Linked DNA regions of Tribolium castaneum. The protein of the gene in region 1 purifies or fractionates together with the protein of each later gene. This does not show direct contact. Links are inferred from orthologs where the notes say so. Each region holds a gene or a part of one and is shown on either strand. Other genes may lie near its edges.

Region 1 (4,137 bases):
AAACAGTCATGGAATTGGTGACAACGACCAATCACGCGCTATTGCTTTTGCGCTTAGCCAATCGCACGTTTTTCTTCCTTTCTTACACTTTTTCGCACGACTGTACCAGTGCTGGGCTTAATTTATGCAATGGTACCGTTGCACGCCAATGTGCAAAAGTTCAAACTTGGGCATCCATAAGCAAGCTCAAATTTAAAAAAACTAATTAAAAATTAGCTCGTAACTTTATACACATCCAAATATAATCGCTGACAACGTATGCACCTCCCTAACACAGGTAGGTATTTGGCAAATACTTGAGATTAAGTTATCTGTTTTTGGCCATTTTGCACATTTTTGCCATTTTACTCAACAGAGGAGGAGATACACGATAAAATAAAAAAATAAGAAAAATTTGAAACAAAATAAATATAACAAAATACGTAAAAATAAATATCTGTTTAAGTTTTATAACTGACTGGCTTTTTTGACTTTTAATTTTTCTATGTCACGTCCTATTAAGCGACATCAAAGGTACGGTTTAATTTAAACCCAGCTTTAAACAATTTTAAGCTTCACGTAGTTCACTTGACACTCTATATGTATAATAAGTGTGTATTTCATCCAAAGTTTAGCTCCGCTTATTATAATTATTGACAAAAAATTGTTTTATTTCGGATTGTCATGAGAGAAGAAGAAAGTTAGATTTTTTGTTTTTTTTTGCGTGGAGAAACTCCAAAGTGCGCTGTCGTCTTCATTTACAGCCACTCAATAACACAATGGCAATTATTGACTTTACTGTACAATCCTCGGGCAAAATCGCAGCTTTCGCAAAAAATGTGCAATTTTAATAAGATTTGTGTTTTATCGCGAGATCCGTGTTGGATAAAAAGCAGAGAGGAATGCCCTGGAAAATGAGGGAAAGGCGCCGGATTGCGGCGATTTGGGCCTTAATGGCCTGTTTATTGTCATAACTGTGCGCATAATGGGGTACGATTTGAATTTTAATTGCACAAGTGACGTCAAGTCATTAGACAAGGGAAACCGTTTGCTGGCAAGGCTAAGAATTGAAATATTACAGTCACAGTCGGCTTGACTTGGTGAATTCCGACACAAAAAGACGCCTTACGGGACCTCACAGTCCTCAGAAATGCAACTTTTTCAACGGATAATAGATAATAAAAAAATCATAAATTTATTGCAAATAGGACAACGAACTTTGGTAAAACTGAATGTGGGAAAAAATTAATTATAAGGTGCCCATCCCTTTTTAATAACAAAGCAATCACAAACCTATAAATAGGTGAGTTAAGAGCCCCTCGAGCCAAACAGATGTGAGTTTGCTTACTTTTTAATAGTTATTTGTAGGAGCTGCAAAATGACTACAACTCCAATATTTACCGTAATGTAAATTACAGAATATTTCGCGTACAAACATCTGCTGTTGACTTTCATCGATAAAAACCATTTGAAACTAAGCATACAAAGCCACCCGGACCCTTCCGGGGCCAACAATTCGAATAGTAATGCGGCGAATTTACTGAATCGAAATTATTCCACTTCCATTTCCAAACAATCGATCGGGCATAATTATACGACACCGGGGGTCGCAGTGTCAACACGTCCATAATCACAAGTCACGGTTTATTGCCCTCTTTTCGCCCCCTTTCGGAAGTGAAGGTCCCGGGGCCCGTTTAATTGCAAAATAACCAAAAGCAGCGTTACATAAAAGCTGGAGCCTCCAGCGTTCACGAGTTCAGTCATTTTTGGCCGTTTTTTCCTCCATCTCTGTCTCGATCGATTCTTGAAGGCAAGGCTGAACAAGGCAACGCTGGATTATATACCGGTGTTGTAGAAGAGCCGCCTGACAAGATACCAGGCAATGACCGCAACCAGAACGTTGAACCGAAGACTCCATTTCACCGGAGCGGCTAATTCAGTTCCGGGATGTCTTGTTTATTTATTTGGGCCCCGAATCAACGCCGGGGACCGGACCCACATTGCTCACAATCATTCCAAGCACGGCCCACACCCGAAGCGAATTCCGAGCTCCACAAGTCCGGCTCTGTTCCCGTCTCGGACTTTTCAGGACGAAAAAACGTGATTTGAATCAAATTGCGCCAAAATTTGACAAGAGCACCACGCACACGGCGCCAAATTCCCCAAACCGGCAGTTTTAAATTGAAACTTTGGACAAACTCTTCAGTAAATCATTTACCAACATTGTAGCTCGTGTTTTTAATAACTATCGGTACTTTGACGAGCTCAAATTAAATTTTTTTTAAGGAAAAAGGAAAATACGGGATTCAGGGTCACAAACAAAAAAACGTGTGTCAAGACTTGAATGCATTTATTTTGCAAAAAAAAAATGTTGAAGTGTTCTAACAACATTCTAATGTAGTTGATAATACATCTGTGGCCTGTAAAACAATAATGACTAAAAGATTAATTAAAATTTCAAATTGACCGTGATGGCGGCAGTGGCGCCCTCAAACAGTCATTTGTCAATTGGCGTTTTAAATAATTTAATTCCGTTTTTAAATGATTAAGGGCCCCATGGACGAGATCGAGTGGAACGTGGCGCACGAGGGGCAGCTCCTGGAGGCCATGGTGGGGCACAAGCCCGTCGGTACGTCCCCCACGAACCTAACCTAAAAAACTGAAGCCCCCTTTCAGGCGTCAATAAGTACTTCCAAATGGCGTGCATCTGTGACAAGTTCGCTGATAGTTGCCAGAAGGAGATCAACTCGGACAAGGTGTGGGCCCACCTCGAGACAATGTACAATTTGGAAGCTTTGGATGAGAGTGAGTCGATTCCGTTCCCGAATAGTGAGAAAGAGTTCACACTTCCCGATTCCGACTTCGGTTCCCTCATTGTGAAGAAGGAAGAGGACAAGAAATTGGCGCAGAAAGGGCGCGAAACGCCCAAGTCGCTCAAGGAATTGCGAAAAGATGAAAAGACTCCTGTGAGGAGCAGTAAGGAGGTGCCAAGGCGTGATAGTAAAGACAGTAAGGACAAAACCCCAGTGAGTGCGAAAAAAGAAATCAAGAAAGAGGCTGAAAAGAGTAAAAGTAAAGGTAAGAGTAATAGTAGTACACCAAGGGAGGAAAACAAGGCAAAAGCGAAAAGTGACGACACACCAAAACTGACGAAGCGCCCTACTAGAGGCAGCTCTAAACCTGACGATTCCAGTTCGAGTGGTAAATCTAGTCCAATCACAGTCACACCACCAGTGACAAAAAGGCGACGCATTTAGTTTCTTTCTCACTTTATTAAAATTAATAAAAAGTGCCTCAATAAATTACGTAAAACACGATGCAACTCGGAGCAACATCACCTCTCAAGGCGGCAGAAAAACGCATGTTTCGATTCGCTTGTCTCGCGTAAATACTTATCATAAAAATTCAAAACGACTGCTTCCACCTTAAAACCGAACTTTTGGTACAAAAACAAGGCCGGGTTGTTGATGGACACGTGTAGTGTGATATCTTTGCCGAGACTTGTCTGAAATAATTAATTAACCAACTAGTTTAATAAAAATCGACTTTTCAATTACTTGGATTAAGTGATACAACATGAACTTTCCAATCCCGACGTTTCGCCATCCTGGCCGTGTAAAAATAAAAGAGACGTAATTTTCGGTGTATTTAACATTGGGGACGAGGAACGCAAACGCCACTATTAATTTTTTGTACAAAACTACGCAACTAAAATCCGGATATTGCAAACTTTCAGTTACTGCAACAAAAAATTAAATTGTGTTGTAACATTTCGGACACTTACGATCGATTCCTGGCCAAAAAAAGTTGTTGCAGAGACTGTTAATGGCAGGTATGTGCTCAGGTTGGACGTAGGTGTAGTCAATAGGGGCCCTTGGAGGTAGAACGTAATTTTGTGTTTTTTCGTTTGCTTTCATTTGTATCTCGGCCATTAGGCGTAGCCAGGATGGATAAGTTTCTGTATCTCTTCGTATGTAAGGTTTTAAATAAATGCTGCTGTAAGGTGAGAGAATTAGTTCTTTTCTGATACCACCCATCAACCTGACTCTCATTTCGCTTCCTTTCTGCCTAAACGCGTCTAAAATTATTTTTGGAGTAAATTCTTAAGCCCTGGGACTATGGGGGACCAAAATATTTGGTGGCATGACGAAAAATCGA
Region 2 (3,727 bases), on another chromosome or scaffold:
TTTTAACTATTATAAATATTTACATTATGTTGTACTTAGATTAGAGATTAATTTCGTTTTCTCAGAGTTTTAACGAATTGTATATTAAAACAGTAATCTATTAACAAATTCGCATTGTTAATCGAACTACTCTTTTGATATACACTGTTCATACTCAAGTGCTAAAATTATTTTAACAAAGTAATAATGGCATTAATTAATGAGGTAGCTTATCAAATACCTATTAATTTTATATGATATGTTAAACTAGATGTAATTTATGTGTCATATTAATAATATTTAATGTTATTAATTCTTGTTGTACTTCATAAGCCAATTTTCAGCCAAATTATTGGCTACTGAGATTATGGTAATGTATTATTTGTGCACCAGTTTAATAAATATATTAACTAAACGTTTTCGACGCTTTTCATTCGTCCAAATTTGTTGCAAACTCATTCACTAACATTTAATCGTGTTGATCTCAGACCAAAACAGTTTTATTTGAAAGAAATAGAAACTGTATTATAAAAATTTATTAAATAGAGCAAAATAAATCAACTGTGATCCACCTGATGTGTTTTTACTTTCAACGCCAACTCCCTCCTTAACTTATCCTTATTCTTAACGTACCACTTAAGCCAGTTTGCAACTACTGGATTACTCTTATCTCCATGAGCTTCCAGTTGTTGGTAATAAGCAGAACGAATTATCTTCAAACACATGCTGCTGTGGTAAGGCAGACACGTTTTAGGGTCAACGTACTTTGCAAGGTGACTGAAAACACAAAATAAATAAAAATAAAAAAATGCGTCGCTTTTTAGAAAATATTTTGCTCCCTAATTCAAAAGTGCAAACTATGTCTTTTCCTCCCTAGACAGGAAAGACATACTGTGCACATTGCACCTCCAAATTAGGCGAAAAAAATATATACAGGGTGAGTCACTGTAATATGCCTGCAGATTAAATTGTAGAAAAATAAAAAAATAACCCCTGACATTTAAAAAAATTATGTTTAGACTGCACTGTAAAAATGGAAGACTGTATTATCGGACAAAGAATTTTAGAATACGATACCACTGACGGTGTATGTCATATCAATGACTCACCCTGTACACGTGACGGGAGCAAGAATTGCCCCTGCACATATAAATAGCTATTTTTACCCTGTGACAATGCATCTGAGACGTCGTGGAAGCGGACGCGCTGTCTTTTTTTCAAAAATGCTGTTAAATGTGGCATCGTTAGGGTCATTAAGCACTGAGATAAACGTGCGTTCGCACACGTTTTCTGATTCGTTCTTGATGTCTTTATCTTGATTGATTTCCTCAATGATTGGCATTCGTGTTGATCTGTATTGGATAACAGGGCCATTGATGACTTTTTTCACAGTTCGTTTCGTTTTCTTCTCACTTTCCATCTTTTGGTACTTTTCAAGTGACTTCAAGTTCTCCAATTCGGTCGTTTTTGCTTCTTCGAGTAACTCTTCCTGTGTTGGCACCCATTCTTCTTCTTTCGGTTTCTTGATTTTTTTCTTTTGTTCGAGATTTCGTACTTTGATGCGTTGTGCTGTTGCGGCTGATTTTGCAGCTGTGGACTTCCTGATTGACTTTCTTTCTGTAACACGTTTGTTGCCAAATATTATTAACTAACTCGTTATTTTCAAACCGTATTCTGTGGATTCATGTTGGGTTGTTCTGACTTTAGGGACAGGTTTTGTGGGTTTTGGTTTTGCTTTTTGTTTACTGGGTGCAGGCACTGGTTCCTACAATGTTTCAGATAAAAATTAACAAAAAATCGAACGTCATAATCGTGCATTACCTTGTAAGCCTTTGTAACTAATCTTCGTTTCTTCTTCTGACCCTCCTCCTCATTGTCTGAAATAGGTTCGTCATTTTCGTCAATACTAAAGTCGGAATCTACCACATCTTCGCCTTCTTCCTCCTCCCTGCAATTAAACCATAACAAAACGGAACAAAATGAATCAGAAGTGAGTACTCGTATTCCCTATCGGATTCGGTTTCTTCAAAACCACCATAATTGGTTTTGTAGAATTCGTCTTGACATTCTTCTTCTTCATCTAACAATTTTGCCATACGGTTACCGGCATTTGCCCGTTTTTCTCTTTTTGCCATTGTAACGAATTTCTCGCCTGGGACAGGGACAACAAACCAATGATAAGTTTTATTACAAAGTAAATGGTTTTTATTTAATATTTTTCCTAATTAAATAAAAAACACAAGCACTAAACACCATCTGTCAAACTGCGAAATTTTAAGGTTAGTATTTTGCTAGATACCATAGAATTATCAGTAAGTACCAATAGCTAAGTTTCATATGTCACTGCAACAAGCGTTCGAGTCCTTTCGTATTTTGGTAAAAAAAGATTTTGGCACTTTACAATGAATGAATGGAATAAATACGTGCGTGTGGGAATATTTTTAGAATTGATCTCATTTTTTCCTCCGCAATAACCCCACCAAAAGGGTGAAAATGAGTTATTTCTCGTCTTTTTGTTGGTGGTCCTGATAAATCGAGGGGAATTACAGAATTATCAATAAGTCGTCTTCAGCTGCTGCTGACGTTGCTGTTGCAAAGGTAGGTAATTGTTACAATAGCCAGCCACATTTCCGTTACAAAAAGAGAAAACAAAGATGGGAGTTCAAGGCATAGTTCTTATGACTGCGATGGTTTTTGCAATTGGGTTGGCCATATATGAAGTCTACACTGCTAGAAACAACACAGCTTCTTGTCACCAGAGCGACAATAAGTATACATATGTGTACACACCGAGGGTACAGGAAAGAACACCAGATACAGCAGATACAGGAAAGAACAAGTGAGTAACTTATTATGTAACTGCAACGTACAAAAACACCTTTTTACAGAAAAAAAAGAAGAAACTCGGTTCCGGAATGTGTGATATGTTGTGAACCATTGCCTGAAGGTGATGGTGGCATTATTTTACCATGCAAACATAAATTTCATGATCAGTGTATCACAAGATGGTTCAAAGAAAACAGAAGTTGTCCAGTTTGTCGCAAATGTGCATAAACTAAGATACAGTAATTTTTCTCAGCTAACAAATCTCAACATATCCTAGGTTTATTAGCATTAGGAACAGCATTACAGCTACACTCATGCTTTTTTCCTATTTTTTTAAATAACCTTTGATTAATTAAAACAACTGAAATCATGACAATTATTATGAGCAATATGTACAATTTTGTGCCTTTCAGGATGTTAACCGAATTTTAACATTTATTGTTTCCTAAACTGTATGTAGAATTGTAGAATGACTAGAATATTAATTTATTTGTCTCATTGTTTCTTGTAGAATATAGTTTTTCATTTTTTCTTGTAATTTGAATGAAAGGAAAATGTACAGGTCAAAAATAAAGTTTTTTGAACCATTTTTTGTTGTGTATTACTAATCCCAGCCAATAAGTTTTGTAAAAATAAAGTGAAAAATTACTGTAACCGCGAATATTCCGATTTCAGAGAAAGAAAGTTGTTAGGTTATGTAATATTGTTGACAGTTATTTCTGACAATAACAAAACCCTGTTTATCAGCTTTACACTCAATATGTAAGATATTCGTAAGTGGTTGTGAAGCAAGCAGACATCAAACAACTAGCCTGCACCCTAAAGACACTTTGACCGTAATTAAATAAGTCAAAATTGGGTTTGTAAGTTTGTTGGGAATTTTAGTGCCAGGATGGTTTTCCAAGGATTTTCCTTCTTTGCC
Region 3 (4,028 bases), on another chromosome or scaffold:
ACATCCTCTCCCATCAGTATTATAAACAAACCCAAAACAAAATATTACACAATAAAACGTACGAATAAACAACGGAAAACGTTTCATTTTTTTATTAATTGAAGATTAGTTTTGCAATCGCAAGTTCATTGATTTCAAAATTCACAAGGTGATGAAAAACGACTAAAACGTTTGAAAAGTAGTCCACTTTAACTCACACTTCGCTTTAATAAAAATAATTCGACGATTTTCAGAGTAAAATCTGACAATTGCGAAACTAGTGAGTTTCTAAATAAAAAATATGCGTAAACGCAAAAATAATACCACTTTCGACTTAATAATATCTTGGACGTAAAATGTGCCAGTAAATACAAACAAAATGCATTTTCGTAAAAAATGTACTACTGAACCCGGTGTTTTCTCCATGTTTCTCCGTCAAAACACAAGTTCGCAGTGTTACTATTATTAAGTGAGGAGGAACAGTGTGGATTGGCAGAGGAATATGTTAATAAAAGAGAAAATGTAAAAAATCATTTATTGATCTACCACTTGGCGCGTTTGCCCCAATCTTTAGGTGTCCAATGCAGACACTTGGGGTCGATTCGGATAAGTCTACTATCCATGGCTTTTTTGTGACTTTGCATAATTTCCTGATTTAACGTTATAATATACTGGCCTTTGTAATAATTGATTAAGTTTAAGTTTTGTAAAGTTGAGATGACGTCTTCTTTTTTAATACTTGTCAACTCACAAATTTCACTTTAAAGTGAACAAACATTTCACAATTACGAAAAATAAAGAAATAATCAAAAATACTTACTTGATCGTTATTTGTGGCTTCTCGTTATCACCCACTGGCTTCATTGATATTAAGATTTCTAAAATAGCTTGTGCCCAGTAACTCCTATACGAAAGCAAACCCAAATCGGAGAGAGGTTTTTCGGGAGAACCCGTTTTACCTTCGAACTTTGATAATTCATAACCTGAAACAATTCGTGAAATTTCGACAACAAAAATTCGCACTCAAACTCACTAAATTCGATTAGTAATTTTCCGTAACCCTTTCGCTGATACGGAGGCATGGTTAAAATACACGCGACGTTAAAATCTTCCGTTGATTCCTTCTCTTTCGAAAAATAGCCAACAATGTGAAACCCTCTATTATCAAAAATGGTCATTACGTAAAACAAAAACGGGTCCGTGTCGTAATACAGTGTTTTATGATCGAGGAACAGCTTCGCCAACAAACACAAATTCTGGGCGTAGACTTTATTTTTCCGCCCGTCAATTTCAAAAAACGAGACGTTTTCCTTGCGATAAATCTCATTTCCGGGCGGGTGTCTCAAATTACATTTGACCAAGTGGCGTTCTAGACACTTCCTGCTCTTTCGGTACTTGAGGCAAAACTCGCAGATGTATATACAGCTCAAGTTGACCATTTCTTGCGGATATGGCGCAAAATACCACGGCTTTATCCTGTGTTTCCCTAACTCGATCATATCGATGTTCTTCATCCTGGTGACCACATCGTCATGGTGCGACACCATGCTCCCAGACTGCCTCGGCCCTGGGGGCATCTGTGTGGGCCCATCTTGCGAGTCTTCGCTCTCAAGAGACGGCCCTTTTCGTTTCCTATTTATGCGTTTTTGCAACGCTGCTGCTAGGACAGCACTGCCGTTGACAAGTTCGGAGGCAGCTGTCACAGGGCTCGAGGGCCTTGATACCGAACCGATGGCACCACCGCCCCCAATGTGAATTTTTTTCGGAGTTGAGACTCCAGTGTTACTCCCGCCGTCACGTCTCGGGAAGTGGACTTTACGAGTGTCGAGCGATTCTTCGGTCACCCATTCGTCCAAACGCTTGTTAACTAAAACCCAAGTTAGTTCACAAGGAACGAAACGGGTGTCCAATCTTACAATCAACGTAATGGACGTAGTACAATTTCGAGCCTTGCACGTCCTTAATACTGATAATTTCGGCCAAAGCTGCAATTTAAAACATAAAAACGTGCAAAATGTGCCAAAGTGGGGCTTACGCCAGTCGGAAGTGCCGGTCATGTGAACCGGGAGCCTGCATCCTTCCACTAACGAATTCTAAAAGTGAGGTTGTGTCAACATTTTGGTTTTGCAATTTTTAATGAAAATATACCACAGAATCACAAATTGTGCTGTCGTCGATTTCCTCCATTTCCACTTTCATCGATTCTGCTTGTTTTTCACAATTTCGGGGGGAAAAATTGTAATTATTGCCGAACAAACCTCACCACCACAACTACCGCAAAAAACATAATGCGCAATATCCATAACGATTTTTTTCCATTGCATAATTGTTATCCAAAATAATGTTTTGATGCGACTTATCTGTATATGCACATTCGGCGAACCGAAACAATACACACAAGTGTCTACTATTTAATAAATTATCATTATCTAGTCATGGGCGTAGGGTGTTGCTCGGGGGTTTCCCCCGAAACCAGCACACTCGATAAAATCACACAATTCCATTCTCAGACTCATTGTTAAATTAACGCCTCACCAAGCTTTGTTCACAAATTGGTGATAACACGTTTGACCTTAGCTTCGCTTGAACGCAGCGTTCTCCTAATCGCAGCCCACAGTTCAAACGGAGTTTCGCCTATTTGCTCTTGGATTCGCAACAACTCGAAGAAAATTTGGACGAACTAGGCAAGGACTGTGCAAAACGAGAAGACATAGAGTCGATTATTTTGCACCACAACCAACTCACAACGCTCCCCAAAAACTTGTCAAAAGTCACAAACGTCCAAGTCCTCCATATCAGCAACAACGGCCTTATGACCTTACCTGATGTTTTCGAGTACTGGCATTTAACAACACTGGTTGCGAAAAATAATCGCTTCAGTAACGAATCCCTCCCGAAAAGTTTCGCTGAGAGTGCGAGCATGCAGGAGTTAAACCTGAGCGGGAATGTTTTCGAACAGTTCCCGAACAACTGTTTGAGTTTACTAATTTAAAGTACCTGTACCTAAGAGGGAATAAAATTAAAACAATACCGAAAAACATAAAGAAATTAAACTGGTAAGTGGGGACGATTAAAACGACCACACGTGATAATGATTGCAGCCTTCAAATCTTGTCGATGGGTGGCAATCAATTAGTGGAAGTTCCTTCAACTCTAGGCCAACTGAAGCAACTGCAGGCTTTGGTGCTTTGCGATAACTTAATCGAGAGTTTGCCGTCAAATATCGCCAATTTGCACAACTTGAAGTCGCTCCAGTTGCACAAAAACAAATTGCGCACTTTGCCGCCTGAAATAATCGCGCTGAAAAATTTGACTGAGGTAACAAATAAATCACCTTTATGTAAAAATAAAATTCGTTCGTCACAGCTGAGTCTCCGTGATAACCCCCTTGTTGTCCGTTTTGTGAGCAACATAACACATAACACGGCTAGTCTGAAAGAATTGTCGGCTCGTGTGATAAAACTTTTCGCACCAAAATTTCACATTGCCAGTTTCTGTTTAAATAAAAATATGCATTTTTATTTTTCCATTGACTGCATGCGAAACTTTTATAATTTTAGACGTTTATAGGCAAATACATTTGTCATAATTAATTTTTCTAGATCAATGCTGTTCTATTTTGAATAATTCTGTGTATGAATGTTACTAAATTTGACGGATTTTGACAGTGAATATTTCTGGTAATGACCTGTTTTAGACTTGTGTGACGTCACATCCGTGACGTGTCCCGAGGTTAGGTGTGCGGCGCAGGCGGCGAGAGCGCTTCAGTCGACAGCGAGCAGCGGCACGGGTCAGATCGGGAGCGGGACCGGGAGGCGGGGCGAAGCGAAGCGAGGTGAGGTGAGGCGGTTTATTTAAATTATTGTGTATTGTGCCGTTTCGTTCAATTTATTCAGTTTGTTACTTGCCGTTGTCGCGAACGGACGTATGTTCAAGCAAATCTAAATTTTCCGGTTTATATTTTAAATTCGGTGACTAGTGATCGCGTTTGAGTGACACATTTTAAATTCAGTAACTATAAGTAAAATCAAAGCACTCAAATAATTTAT
Region 4 (4,298 bases), about 12 Mb from region 1:
CTCTTTGAAACTCCTGCGTTGTTCTTATAGCCCCATTCTCTATATTCTTTCTAATCGTCAACAAATCCATGGGTCTATACACCACACTGTGATACCCTGGAGCTTGGTCATCGGTGATCGGTTTAGAAAACAGTGACGCGTATTTATTTGCAGCCAATCTACTATACACAAGCATTATAGACTTCTTCCAATTGCGATACTCCCGATCATCATCGTAAAAATATATACTGGAAACTGGTGATCCTGGAACTGAATCAATCGGAGTCGCAGGAGTTGAAAGTCGCCTCCTTGTCCGTATTGTAGACACATCTTCCTCCTCCGTCCAGGGACTGTTAGATCTTTCATTCTCGCTCTTAATCCGCGATTTGCTGTCTTTACGGTCCAGTTCGCTGTAATCCCGGTCAGAGAAACTCTCTTCAACCAACTCACTTTCGTCTCTTTGCGCCTTTTCAATGGCCAAGAGAACATCAAATTCTTTATCGTCCTTCTTCTTCGTCCTGGAATAATCGCGCTTTGCTTTCCCGGTCTTGTCCACTTTCACTTCCATATTGATATCGTCGTACAATTCCTCGTTATAGTCGGAAGTCAATGTGGTTGACTCGTCCAGTTTCCTTTCGTCTTTCTTCTCAATCTCTACACTAGATTTTTCATTTTCTGAAACTTTGGCGTCTGTTTCTGATTTTATTTCCGCAACTTCTGTACTTTCCCCTGCTGTTTCTTTCTTTGGTTCCGCTTTAACGGAATGGGCTGGATCTTCAGTTTTATTGACTTCCTTGTCAGTATCCTCATCATCCATAACTACAACTTCTACAATTTCGACGGATCCAGGAGTTGTGCTTTTATCTTTCTTATCGGAATCATCAGTTGGTTCGTTTTTTACTTCTACCAGTTCATCCCGAGATTCTTCGCCATTTGAAGTTAAGTGTTTATTGTCTGAATTTGGGGCTTCGTCAGTAGTTTGTGACCGATCGTCGCTGTCCTGTGCTACCATAGTTTTAGAAGCGTCTGTTTTCACGGCTGTTGCAGGTTTAGCGGGTTCAAAAACTTCCGGATCTTCTTGGAACTCAAACGGATCTATTGCCGGTGTTGTAGTTTCCGTCCGTTTTTCTGTTTCTTTGGTTTCGTCCTTCATATCAGTTTCACTCTCTTCGAAATCTTCCAGTTCCAAATTTAGATTAAGATCACCGTTTCCATCCAGTTGTAGATGCTGTTCCGGATCTGCAACTATATCCTGCGCGTTCTCAATCAAATCGGAGATGATAACATCAACGTCATTCTTTATTTCTGGAAGTGGGCCATTCTGGATCAAGATACTGCTCGCCAAGTCATCAATTTTCAAAATTTGTAGATTGGCATCATCGAGGATATCGTTAGTATTGACATTCTGTTGTTGGGTTTCTTCTCCGGTTGGCTCTTGTCCTATAGCTGTACTAACCAAAAGTTGCAATCCTGGAGAAACTGTTTCTCCAGTTGAGGAGCTTAAAAGACTGGCAATCATGGGGCTAGTAGTTGTGTTGGTTGGCCGTTGGTTGGTAATCGCTGAATGCAATATTGAGGAAGTTGTAACGTTTGGAACTTGTGATGGTGATTTCAGAAGACTTGTCAGAAGTGGCGATAGGGCCGGTTTAGGGGGCTCCTGCACTAGGATTTTCTGTTCTTCTGTTGTATTTTCCATCTCTGGGATTGTGTCCATAGCTTCGGAATTTTTACGTTTTTGACCAATCACCGGGGATGGCTTAACTGGTCTCCACGCTCTTTCTATTTCCTGTTTTCGTAACTCCCTCTCCTTTAGCCACTGTTCGTGTGCCAGGGCTTCTTGTTCCTTCCTGTGTTCCTCTTCATCTATTTCCTTACACCAAATATCCAGTTGTTCTTCACTTACGTTACCTTTAAATAAAACAATTAATTATCAAAAAATACTTAACCGAATTTCCGCAACAGTCTTAAGTTTGAGAGGCTCTAATATAGCCCCTGTAACTTCAAACAACTTTAATTTAATTGTGAATACCTGACTGAAGCAGAGCTTTATCTCTCTGCAATTTCTGATATTCTGCTTTTTCTTCCGCTAGTAGTCTCTTGAGCTCAGCTTGTCTCTCGGCCAAAAGTTTGCGTAGAATGACTTCGGCGGGGGTTTCGATAGTGACTTCGCCCCCAGACGTTCTTTTCTTCCTCTTAGGTGTTTCAACATTCGCTAAAAGAGCCCCATACTGGGCTGCACAGTTCTTCTGGTGGAACCAATCAGGGGGTCTGTTGGGTTCACCAAAGGGTTTTAAAGCTCGGCTCACACTTGTTAAATTCTGGTCCATGTTACGAGCCACTGCTAGAGCCAACTGTTCACGGATTGACCATTTATCCAGCGGTTCACGCTTTATTTGTAAACGTTCTTCAATTGAACTCATTTTGAGGTTATGTTGGCCCGAACGTCCAAAAATCAAATACAAGAACCTTGCCAGGAAAGTGACTAATAGTATCACTGAATAAACATTCTTGAAGTAGAAATTCGCACACAAGAATTATCGTTATAACAAGCTTGAACGTTGTTTATATTTGTCAACTGTCAAAGTGTCAAACCTGGACAAACTATGCAGAAGTTTTGCCTGATTTTTAAAGAAAGTCAACCACAATCAGTGTAAGATTATGTAATGTTTCAAGCACACTTGTCTAAATAATTTCGTAAGATCTTATTATTCATAAAAATTAATAATCTTGAAAATTTCATACGCAGACATTATTAGATATTACGTACAGACCGTGATTTTTGACGAGGGCTTTTATGATCGAAAAGTATTAATTTAATGACTGTTTTTTAATTAATTAGTGTATTTTGGGTGTAGCTGGTTTAATGTTATCAAATACATATAGATTGTGGCCACCTTTTTGTATTTGTCGAATTTTATGGCATATTCTGTTATTAAGTATTTCGGTAGCTTGCGCGGTAGCTACTTTAGTGGCAAGTTGTCAAATTTTTAACCTCACTTTCTTGCGAATGGAATGCAATAAAAAATGTTTTTTTCGAATGCTTTGGAAGCTGTTTCTGGTGGTAGCTCCACCCAGTGTCCCAAAGTGAAGTAAAAAAAGAAGTTGTGAGTGTATACATAACAATCAAATGTAAGGATACTCTTTGAAAAAAAAAAAAAAGGTGGAAACAGTATTCAGAATGGCCCCCGAAGGGCGAATCAGTTATTACATCGACAAATATGGAGTGTTTCATAAAAGTGGTGGAAAAAACGACAAGCCGGTGAATGCACCAGCGTTTGAGACAAGTGTGACAAGACCTTCCTCAACTTGGCTGCGTCTGATAATAATGTTTTGGAATGCAAGAGTTATGAAAGCGGCTTTTCGTTTTGGCGTTGCTGCAATAATCATGAATCAGTATGAGCGTCTGGGATTTGCGGTCCTCTTACTGTGTTTCACGCTATGATAGTTTACTTTGTAACATAGTAGTTGAATAAATTTGTTTGAAATGTTTTTGTGTGTTGAAGGAAATGCGGGCAAACTGTAAAAATGCAGCTTTATTCAATTATAAACCAAATTATAACAACAGTTAAAACATTAAATAATTTGAGATTACTCTAATAGTTGACCAAGAGGGTAGCGATGCGCAATTTAAAATAGGCACTTTTCTACATTTATTTACATGATTCTGAAAAAAATCCCTACTTATAAGGTGAATATGACTGTGAAGGAAATTTTCAACAAATCGTAATTTTGTGAATAAGAAATGATTTTGTTAAAATCGCTCTCATCGTCAAAAGCATTTCCCAAAGTTACGTCACCTAATTTGATAACAGCATGAGCACTTTCGGTAAAAATATAACAGACTTCGTTACAGAATTGCAGTTTTAACCCCTAAAGTGTGTGTAACTACATCCTTTACAACTAAAACACTTCATATACTCTACTCTCATTACGTAACAAAGCAATATTTATAATTTCAGTCTAGGCTAGGATTCATCATGGCAAGAATTTGTGAAACCTATTTTAACATAAATTATATGATATAATTGATATTCATTATTCTTTTACATTCTACTTATAAATAGGTACTCTATGAATGTTGCATCGTGAACGGATGAAAATAAAAGCATGTCAATGTACACTTTTCTATTGCTATTTTATGCTATTCAGACAAGATGAGATCATCCTCCCTGCTAATTCCATTCTTTTATCACTAAAAACTCACTTAACTAAAAATAAATTAATCGTATCTAAGCTAGTCAATTCACTGATGCAACATAACTAAATTAACACATATGCTTTATTTAATAGTTCAGTCAACTACTTAATAAAAAATCACT
Region 5 (4,132 bases), on another chromosome or scaffold:
AAATACCAACTGTAGGGTGAAAGCTGTGTCAACAGCAATATCACAACGGTAAAATATTGGTGGTATTTTTCCTCTTTAGATTCAGACAGATAATGAACCCCTCAAGGTTAATGAATTTTAATTAAATCGGTGACTTTATACAAATATCCAGTCACGATGATAACACGGTAAAAAAGCAAAAATATTTCTACCAAAACCGTTGGCTAAGACGGCATAAATATTTGACGCCTTTACTTAATCACATAAAGTTCAGATTCGGAATGCAATTACATAACCTCTAAGCTTCCTTAACTGAAGTAACCAACAACTCATTGTTCGATTTACCTTTCTATTTTCGTTCCATTATCTATCATCCATAAATCACACACAGATCTAGCCACTAAACTCGCAGCTACAAGGAATAGAAATCCCGCCTCAGGTGAAGTCCATCCTGGGATAATTATTCTAAGTAGGTGATTAAGTTGCTTAAGAAATTGCCTATCAACTTGCGCCTTAATCCTATTTTCTTTCTTCTCAGATATAAAATATTTCACTTCTTCATCCACGGTTTTCCTGACTTTTCTCCTAGAACAAAACCGGAGTCAAACAAGTCTCGAAGTGGGGTCAATTTTCATACCTGTCCAGTTTGTACAAATTTTTTCTTCGTCGTGATATTAAAATCCATAATAAAGCTGTCGATGCTCCAGCGGCTGCAAGAGCATTGTTTCTTGTCACATATTTGCTAAAACTGGGTGCCATTTTACTTCATCTTTTCGCACTTTTCACAAGAAGTATTGAGTGATCGTGACCAAGCAGTTTTCCGATCAATTGTATTTGTTTCCACTCACTCATCCACAAACACTGACACCTAACGTTTAAGCAGACTTTACCAAGTATTTTACTGATTTTACTGAGCTCCAGTCAGCGACTGTCATTGGAGCTTCGACCGATCACATGATTTTGGCCGAACCTGCAAGACAGGGACAGCCGCAATTTGAGAAAGAGACAACAAACACGCCAAATACTCACCTGTGGAATGCATTAACCGATCGTTAAAATCGAAAGGATTCATTAAAGGAAAATTAGAAAGTTTTCCATTTTGTGATAATTGACAAATGGCCGTTCTGTCATGTTGAGCTGACATGCCATTTCTCAGGTGTCTCAGGTGACTCGATCAATGTAAAATTAAATTCGCAATTTCTTTAAAATTTGACTAGGTCATAGTATTATAATGAAACATTTCAAAAATCACTTTGTGACTGCTGAGTTCGAACAGAATATTAAAAACGATTTTTTAATCAAAAATGAATTTGAAATGGTCACTATGACCACCCCAACGCTCCAAAATTCTCCAACCGGTTGTTGCCATACCAACATCACAACAATAAAACTCAAATTGATCAAGCAAAGTTTGGTTAGCGTGTTTTCCAAAAATGAAGATTGAAGAAGTGAAAAGTACGGTGAAAACGCAACGAATAAGTGCCCACAGCCACATTAAAGGTTTAGGGTTAGATGAGAATGGTTTCGCGTTGCCAACAGCGGCCGGCTTGGTCGGCCAAGAACAGGCTAGGGAGGTTAGGTTTGTCTTTTTTAATCAGAGTTCGGCTAAATTCAGTGGTTTCAGGCCGCAGGGATTGTGGTGGATATGATTAGGAGTAAGAAAATGGCCGGACGGGCTGTGCTTCTAGCGGGTCCCCCTGGGACCGGTAAAACTGCGATAGCTTTGGCCATCGCGCAAGAACTGGGTAATAAGGTGCCCTTTTGCCCCATGGTGGGGTCCGAGGTTTACAGTTCTGAGATTAAGAAGACGGAGGTGTTGATGGAGAATTTCCGGAGGGCCATAGGGCTGCGCATTAGGGAGACTAAGGAGGTTTATGAGGGGGAAGTTACTGAATTGACTCCTGTTGAAACGGAGAATCCTGCTGGAGGTTTTAGTTTTTAGACACTTTGACAATGTTCTATATATTTCTTTTGGTTTTGTAGGGTATGGAAAGACAGTAAGTCATGTAATTATTGGCCTGAAAACTGCAAAAGGTAGCAAACAACTGAAACTCGACCCCAGTATTTATGAAGCCCTTCAGAAGGAAAAAGTCGAAGTAGGTGACGTTATTTATATTGAAGCCAATAGTGGGGCTGTTAAGCGTCAAGGCAGATCTGATGGATATGCGACTGAGTTTGATCTAGAAGCTGAGGAATATGTACCGCTTCCAAAGGGGGAAGTTCACAAAAAGAAGGAGGTGGTTCAAGTATGTATAATCCGCTCTTAATATTTTTGGATAAACGGTAGCTCCGTGTTTTTTTTCAAGTTTCAAGACAAACTGAACAGTACAAATAAATCAACAAAATTTAATCATGTTTTTGAAAAATTGCTAAATTACTCACACATACATTATTTTTGTCTTAAGACAATTTTACACTTGTGACAGTTATTTTTAAGAGATTGGTGTTGTCACGTAAAGTTGTTGCAGAAATAATTAAATATGGTCAAAAAGCCCATTGTTTTTGACGTTTGTGGAGTATTAGCAATTTTTTTATCCAGAAACGCAATTATACAGGGTGTTTCATATAATTTAAATGCCACCAACATTACATTTTCTCTGGATTGTTCACCCTTTTAAAATTTATTACGGTTTTAGGTAGTTGATTTTTTTAGTATTTTTTTAGTTTTCGCTTAATCTAGCAAAATTATATTAATCAATCTTAAGATTACATTATGTTTACGTTTCTCGAGCATTTTGTGGTCAGAAATAATTTTTTTCGAGACGTTTGGTCAAAATTTCACATTATGTGAAAAACCTTGTTTTTGCCATTTTTGAGTTTTACCAAATTGTTTTCAAAGGAAACACAATAATTTCAATACATCACCGCATTGTGTTATACAGCGTGATTCAAAAGTGACGAATAAACGCTCGTATAGTAAAAAACGAAGTTTAGTTAAGCACAAAAATGAACTCAAATTTTTTTAAGCAAAGTAATTTTGATATATTTTTAAACTGTTTTCCTTAGGTATCCATTTTTGCTATTTTGTTTGCTATGATATCGAATTTCGTTTCCGCTAACTAAAGTCAAAAAAAATATCATCTGATGCACCAATAATTTAACTTAAAAATTTAACTTTGAAGAGCTATATCTCGTGAAAAAAGACTCAAACACTTTTTTGTCATAGGAACTTTTAATTCAGTTTGATGTCTTTTATCAGCACCCCAGAGATTGTCCCCTGCCTTTGAATCACACTGTATTTAAAACTGTTCCAAAAGTAAAAAATCTGATTATTTTATCTTTTTTTTTTTTTCAACTAGAAACTCATTTTTTCCCGGAAATTAAATTTAAAAATAAGCCGAAAAAAAAGCACTTTACATTGTGAATGTGCTATACATTTGCCTTTTTAAGTGCTTAAGTACTGTGCTAGTTTTTTTTTCTTTGGAACTGGTCCAAACTATGGTAAAAAATTGTAGTCTAAATAAATAATATTCTTCAGCTTTTTTAATTACACTAATCAGCGTTTTCAAAAAAAGTAATAATAAAGCTTACTCTAATTATAAACTTAAATGATCACAATGTACTTTTTAAGGCTAAAAACTTAGTTGCTTTCGCTAGACAAGCAGAAAACGACAAATGTTTTTCGAGAAATTTCGTCTGCATCAAACTATGTTAAACGTCTTTAGCAAAATTTTAGTCAGAAACTCAATTAAAAAAACTCTACATTACGTTAAAGAATGTGTTTTATTTTAGCATTTTTTTGACTTAAAGACTCGCATAAAAGTTAATAACTAAGTCAAAAAAAATTTATTTTGATTTTGTAGGCAAAAAAGCAATTATTTGAAAGAATCTTGTCAAAAATACGCCGAATAAACCCACTTTAATTTGAGGATGGTGATATATTTTTCTTTTTTTGAGGATTTAACTACTTTTTTGTTAAAAATCCCGTTGTTTTTCGAGATTTAGATTAGGTAATCAATGACATTATGTGTCCCATTTTATTTATGGACATTTTAGATAGGTTTTTCTAGTCAAGGCATTGTAATTATGTCGCGAAATTTCGTCAAAAATAAGTGGAAGAAATACTGAAATGAAAGAAATATATAAACAAGGTAATTTGGCCTCTTTCAAGCTTTCAAAACATATTTTCGATTTAAAAACTCAATTATTGCGA
Region 6 (2,463 bases), on another chromosome or scaffold:
TTAATATATTTGGAACACTTTAAAAAATATTGTAAATTTGCAATATAAACCGCATATCAATAGAAAGCTTATAAAAAATGCTATCGATACGTCTAAAGAAATACATGGTGTTCCATTAAAAAAAATTAGTTATTCAACTTTTTGCGTTTTGACACACCCTGTATATGATTTCCGTGTTTCAAGTAAAAGTCGACAATTTCCTAAAACTTCAAAGTATTTTGAATTTTTCTGTTGCAAATTTATCGGAAAATATTCATAAGCGACTTTGCAGTGAATTTTCAAAAATTGGTCTTTTCTATAACGAAAAGTCGAATAATTCCGAAACGAAAAAAGATAGACCCATAATAGTTTATATAAAGTTACATTATTTTTTTACGTAGAATCCAATTATGCAAAAATATATAGGGTGTTCCGTTAAAAAAAATATAACTTTGGTTCATCACTCTGTATACATCCTGGGCATAATAGAAATATTTTTAGTTTGTGGAATTTCAGTAGATCTATCAAATAATAAAAACAGAATGACAATATTTCAAATAGCAAAAAAGTTATAGACCGATTATACACTCTTGGATCACGCAAATTATTTTGTATATAATTTATTTCGTAAAAACTGCATTTTCCAAAAACTTCCAGCATCATTATTAAAAAAAATTTTTAGAAAAATATAGTTATTCTCACAATCATATCTAAGTGTCCTACGCTCAAAATTTTTTTTTTCTGTTACTTAGGTCCTGCTTAGACCAATTAATTTCGTACATATGTATATAACGACTAAAAATTGGAATTTTATTATAATAGTATTATATTATTTTACGTGTCTTTTCAATATAATTCATTTCATTTAGAAAAAAAAATCTACTAACAAAAAAGTATCCACTAACCTTGCTATCAGCTCCGTCAAAATGCGCCAAACTGTTCAACCGACTGGAGATCGACGTCACTGCCTTATTGACCATATTAATAATCTGTTCGCTATCGCTCAACTTCTCCGTATTATTCCCTGCCACTTCCTCCGGCTTCTTCATCCTCGACAAAACCATCTCATCTCTCAAAATCGGCTTCAAAATCGCCGTTACTTTAAAATTCGGATAAACGAAACACCTCGCCGTCGCAATCATGGACGCTGTCAAAGGCCCACTAATCCCAATACTCGACAAATACTCGACAATATTCGGCGTCAGCCGAAAGGGCACCGATCTGGTGGCCCCAAACTCCCCCGTCCCATCATCCACATCAAACTTAAAGTAGGCCACGTTCATTAATCCCGAATCCTGATGCAAGTACATCATGTCGGGATTAAGTCTCGTCAAGTGCAAGACATGTTCGGCAAAGCAGGCCAAAGCCAACTGCAATGTGAACATTTTCCGAAACTGCCAATAATCGGTGGCTGATGGGAACGTTTGGACCGCCCATTGTTTCAACAACGTTCTTGGTACCATGTTTGTTTGCACCCCTTTTAAAATATCCCTACTCAATTGATGGCTCGCTTTGATTCCCCTACTCTGCACCCCACCCAAGCGTTCGTAGTAGTAATGAATGGGATCGTCGTGCTCGATGCCTAGCTTGGCACACCCCTTTTTGAAAATGTCCAATAGGGAGATGGAGGCGGGGTTATCTTCGACCAATCGGATTTGCTGCGAGACGGCAACAACGCGCGGTACGGTAAAGTGGAGAAAACGTCGTGCGGTCTCTTTCTGTTTGCCGAGACAGTGATTGAGCATGCGCAGAAGTTGAAGGACGCGTTCTTCACGACGTGCGTCGACTAGACCCGAATCGTTGACAACTAAATAAGGGTAGATTTTTCCGTTGTGACCACGGATGTAGAGACGCCTGGCGGCGGCGTTGTGTTTTTGGACGACGTCAACACGAGGCATGAAACGAGTTATGCGAACGTAGTAATGGTTGTGTTTGGGGAGGAGAAATTCGCCGGGGATTTCCACTTCGGCGGTTTTAAGGGTGAAGTTTGAGAGGAAACGGCATTTTTCCTCAATTAGGAACGACCTAAGAGGAAAAAATTTGGCTAAGTAATACATTATATGTGCGGTATAGGTTGTTTTATTAAAACTGAACGCTTTAAAAAACCTGCACAAATAATGTACAGTTCATATTTCAAAACCAATTAGAAAAAACATAGAAAAGAATATTAAAAAAAAAAACATTTTTAAATGAGTCATAATAAATTTCACTTCAAAAAAACTCGTGGAAAGCCTATTGATTTCAAACAGAATGTAAGTTAGAATTTATTTATAACTTTTTATAACCTCTATAGTCCGTTATTTTAATAATGAGTTAACTCTGAGTTAGAAAAAGTCCATGTTAATTCAACAGTCAGGTCAAGTCAGGTCTGAAAACTTAGAAAAAGTCTAAGTTAACTCAACAGTCAGGTCAGGTCAGGTCTAAAAACTTAGAAAAAGTCTAAGTTAACTCAACAGTCAGGTCAGGTCTGAAAACTTAGAAAAA
Region 7 (2,336 bases), on another chromosome or scaffold:
AGGGTAAAAAATATCCTAACTATGTGGATTTAGTTTTGTAACACATGGGCTTTAAATAAATTCTGTACTAGTTCAGGATTAGTTCTAAAAATCGTTTTTGTTTGAGTTTCAGAATTTGCAAAATAATATTGCATTGAAATTGAAATTGAGGTGTATACGTACAGTGTCATTCTGCTAAAAGTATTTTCTTCCTGTGTCTCAAAACTCAATAATTACACAGAGAATTTTTCGGCAGTTCTTTATACATAATTTAAATTAATTAATATTAAGTCACTGACGAAAAAATTCTAATGATATTCTTTCTGAAGGGAACCATTAATAATAAAAAAATTGTTTCTAGCCACCAAAAAATAAAATTATTGTGTTGTTCATATTTTCCAACATTTTTAATTGTAATCAAACTGTAATTAAGATTGAACTTGTGATTTACTTTGCCAAGATTAACTTAATCGATGATTATTTTTTTTATCTATTTTTGCACAAAAATTTTTTCATTGGCTTAATTAAACTTTATTTTAAAAATTTATAGGAAAATTCCGAAAAAAAAATGCGTAGAAAGATTTAATTGATAGCAAACGCTCATCTTTATGATTTTAGCTTTAAAAATATACTTTTTTAGACTAACCCTGTAGAAACATCGAAAATTATGAATTTAATATAAAGTTGAAAAAAGAGTAAATTTCTAATGCCCCAGTGTTTTTTATATTAAAAAATAATTAAAAATGAAAATTGAGTTTTAAGTTAAGGGTAAATAGGTCATAAATACCTAATTTTTAGTAGCGTTTGACGCCTGTCATATTTGAATTTAGTGTACGTTATTCTAATTAAGTCAGAAAAAATTCCCATGCTGTAACTTGATGACTATAAATGGAAAATATTTACATAATAACAGTGGGGCAAAAATGCGGAAGTAATCCGTAAATTAATTATGGCCCCAGCAATTTAAAAACCATTGATGTCAACATAATTTTTCTAATGAACGCTTTTTAGAAATTAATTGTGTCGGAAAATTTGCTTGTTTACCGTGGAATCTCTCTCATTTTTAAAGTTACTTTTACTTTTTCATATTTTTTGTTTTTTTAATAATTGTATCCTGCCTCCTATTCACTTAATTAGCAACTAAAATTTTGTGATAGTCTATAAACGTTGTTTTTGGCGATGGAATGTAGACATTTTGTAATAACAGTCGCCAGAACAATCGGTCATTGTAACGCGTTTTGTAGTAATTAGTTTGGAAATACCTTAACAGAAAAATTTACAAGGCCACTGATCCGATCTACTTACATTGCACAAAATCGCCGCTTTTATTCATCGTTCATTTTTTCAGCCGAATGATTTGGCAATTAAATTGCTAAAACCGTCTAGTTTTTCTGTACAGGTATTACGTTCAAGCAGTTACTTTTTCAAGTAATTTTAGTTTTATTTTTTACTCGTAGTGGAGCCGCACAGCGATACTGAATCTCAAACTAATGGAGATTCTAGTGATACTAACTTAGGTCCTAATTCGAACCATATAGATTCTGGGATGAAAAATGCAGGAAAACACTCGACGAATTCCTTGAATGGTGTACAGAACGGGCTTGACCATCGAAATAGCCCCAATAGAGACGTTTCGGCCAAACAGAAAAGTTTCAGTGCAAGTGCTAAAAAAACTAATAATAAGAAAGCTAGACACAGATGACTTTTTGTGCTGTTTTCTCAACCTATTTGTGTGTGTTTACAGTTTTAAGGTTTTTCAATTGTGAGTTTGGAATCTAAGTACCTGCATATTGAAATTGTACACTTTTTACCGATGTAATTGTTTGGAACAATAAATAAAATTATTCAGCAATTAAATGATTTCCTTCATTCAAATAAGAAATAAGTACGGTAAGTGTATGTGTCTATAAATTTAAGTATTTATGTAAGTTCAACTTTCTTTAAATTGTTTTATCTTTTCAACACTCATTGCTGCATTATAAAATTGTCTGCTCGTAAATGTCATTTTCTTAGTTTTTATTACGCTTTTGCGTTAGAAATTATTACAAGGTATTAATTAATTAGACGAACATAAATTATAAATCGTATAAAGTAAATAAACTTTTTCTTGTGTAAGATTTATGTCAAAAACAAACACAAAGGTGTGCGACTAAACTCCAAAGAAATTGTAATCTCATTACTACACCTCGTTTTTTCGGATTATGTTTTTTCTATTAGGTGAGAGAATCCGATCATTAGCGTATTAGAATATCCGTTTAATTTTTTTGCGAAAGTATTTGAAAAATCTTGTTTCTTATACAAATGGTTTTGTAATATGCCAGACGTGTTTAGTAAAAGCATTTCTCTCCACAAATAAC

What was found.
Region 2: the proteins of MrgBP (region 1) and YL-1 purify together in Homo sapiens (co-immunoprecipitation; 5 studies listed by BioGRID and IntAct, counting the BioPlex papers as one, with this or other methods). This does not show direct contact. The link is inferred for Tribolium castaneum from reciprocal best matches to the Homo sapiens genes MRGBP and VPS72.
Region 3: the proteins of MrgBP (region 1) and Tip60 purify together in Homo sapiens (co-immunoprecipitation; 8 studies listed by BioGRID and IntAct, counting the BioPlex papers as one, with this or other methods). This does not show direct contact. The link is inferred for Tribolium castaneum from reciprocal best matches to the Homo sapiens genes MRGBP and KAT5.
Region 4: the proteins of MrgBP (region 1) and Brd8 purify together in Homo sapiens (affinity purification with mass spectrometry; 10 studies listed by BioGRID and IntAct, counting the BioPlex papers as one, with this or other methods). This does not show direct contact. The link is inferred for Tribolium castaneum from reciprocal best matches to the Homo sapiens genes MRGBP and BRD8.
Region 5: the proteins of MrgBP (region 1) and pont purify together in Homo sapiens (co-immunoprecipitation; 6 studies listed by BioGRID and IntAct, counting the BioPlex papers as one, with this or other methods). This does not show direct contact. The link is inferred for Tribolium castaneum from reciprocal best matches to the Homo sapiens genes MRGBP and RUVBL1.
Region 6: the proteins of MrgBP (region 1) and Nipped-A purify together in Homo sapiens (co-immunoprecipitation; 3 studies listed by BioGRID and IntAct, counting the BioPlex papers as one, with this or other methods). This does not show direct contact. The link is inferred for Tribolium castaneum from reciprocal best matches to the Homo sapiens genes MRGBP and TRRAP.
Region 7: the proteins of MrgBP (region 1) and Eaf6 purify together in Homo sapiens (co-immunoprecipitation; 4 studies listed by BioGRID and IntAct, counting the BioPlex papers as one, with this or other methods). This does not show direct contact. The link is inferred for Tribolium castaneum from reciprocal best matches to the Homo sapiens genes MRGBP and MEAF6.

Annotation. Positions count from the first base shown.
Region 1 is NC_087396.1:22,638,448-22,642,584, reverse strand, and holds MrgBP (MRG/MORF4L-binding protein), read left to right. Parts: upstream 1-1,337; 5' UTR 1,338-2,520; coding exon 2,521-2,608; intron 2,609-2,655; coding exon 2,656-3,236; 3' UTR 3,237-3,313; coding exon of another isoform or gene 3,314-3,484; 3' UTR 3,485-3,536; coding exon of another isoform or gene 3,537-3,718; 3' UTR 3,719-3,763; downstream 3,764-4,137. Other genes in the region: Atac2 (cysteine-rich protein 2-binding protein), read right to left, coding at 3,314-3,484, 3,537-3,718, 3,764-4,057.
Region 2 is NC_087397.1:8,922,175-8,925,901, reverse strand, and holds YL-1 (vacuolar protein sorting-associated protein 72 homolog), read right to left. Parts: upstream 2,261-3,727; 5' UTR 2,115-2,260; coding exon 1,978-2,114; intron 1,928-1,977; coding exon 1,801-1,927; intron 1,745-1,800; coding exon 1,648-1,744; intron 1,597-1,647; coding exon 1,146-1,596; intron 757-1,145; coding exon 537-756; 3' UTR 501-536; downstream 1-500. UniProt on the Homo sapiens protein: Deposition-and-exchange histone chaperone specific for H2AZ1, specifically chaperones H2AZ1 and deposits it into nucleosomes.
Region 3 is NC_087402.1:5,803,389-5,807,416, reverse strand, and holds Tip60 (histone acetyltransferase Tip60), read right to left. Parts: upstream 2,574-4,028; 5' UTR 2,179-2,573; coding exon 2,128-2,178; intron 2,073-2,127; coding exon 2,015-2,072; intron 1,965-2,014; coding exon 1,896-1,964; intron 1,847-1,895; coding exon 1,013-1,846; intron 963-1,012; coding exon 800-962; intron 739-799; coding exon 522-738; 3' UTR 501-521; downstream 1-500. UniProt on the Homo sapiens protein: Catalytic subunit of the NuA4 histone acetyltransferase complex, a multiprotein complex involved in transcriptional activation of select genes principally by acetylation of nucleosomal histones H2A and H4.
Region 4 is NC_087396.1:10,840,237-10,844,534, reverse strand, and holds the start of Brd8 (bromodomain-containing protein 8), read right to left. Parts: upstream 2,801-4,298; 5' UTR 2,400-2,800; coding exon 2,009-2,399; intron 1,888-2,008; coding exon 1-1,887. UniProt on the Homo sapiens protein: May act as a coactivator during transcriptional activation by hormone-activated nuclear receptors (NR). Isoform 2 stimulates transcriptional activation by AR/DHTR, ESR1/NR3A1, RXRA/NR2B1 and THRB/ERBA2.
Region 5 is NC_087395.1:13,831,749-13,835,880, reverse strand, and holds the start of pont (ruvB-like helicase 1), read left to right. Parts: upstream 1-1,332; 5' UTR 1,333-1,412; coding exon 1,413-1,553; intron 1,554-1,603; coding exon 1,604-1,907; intron 1,908-1,962; coding exon 1,963-2,225; intron 2,226-4,132. Other genes in the region: Abcd3 (ATP-binding cassette sub-family D member 3), read right to left, coding at 325-564, 617-738. UniProt on the Homo sapiens protein: Possesses single-stranded DNA-stimulated ATPase and ATP-dependent DNA helicase (3' to 5') activity; hexamerization is thought to be critical for ATP hydrolysis and adjacent subunits in the ring-like structure contribute to the ATPase activity.
Region 6 is NC_087401.1:16,675,661-16,678,123, forward strand, and holds part of Nipped-A (transcription-associated protein 1), read right to left. Parts: intron 2,005-2,463; coding exon 885-2,004; intron 1-884. UniProt on the Homo sapiens protein: Adapter protein, which is found in various multiprotein chromatin complexes with histone acetyltransferase activity (HAT), which gives a specific tag for epigenetic transcription activation.
Region 7 is NC_087398.1:15,243,147-15,245,482, forward strand, and holds the end of Eaf6 (chromatin modification-related protein MEAF6), read left to right. Parts: intron 1-1,436; coding exon 1,437-1,681; 3' UTR 1,682-1,836; downstream 1,837-2,336.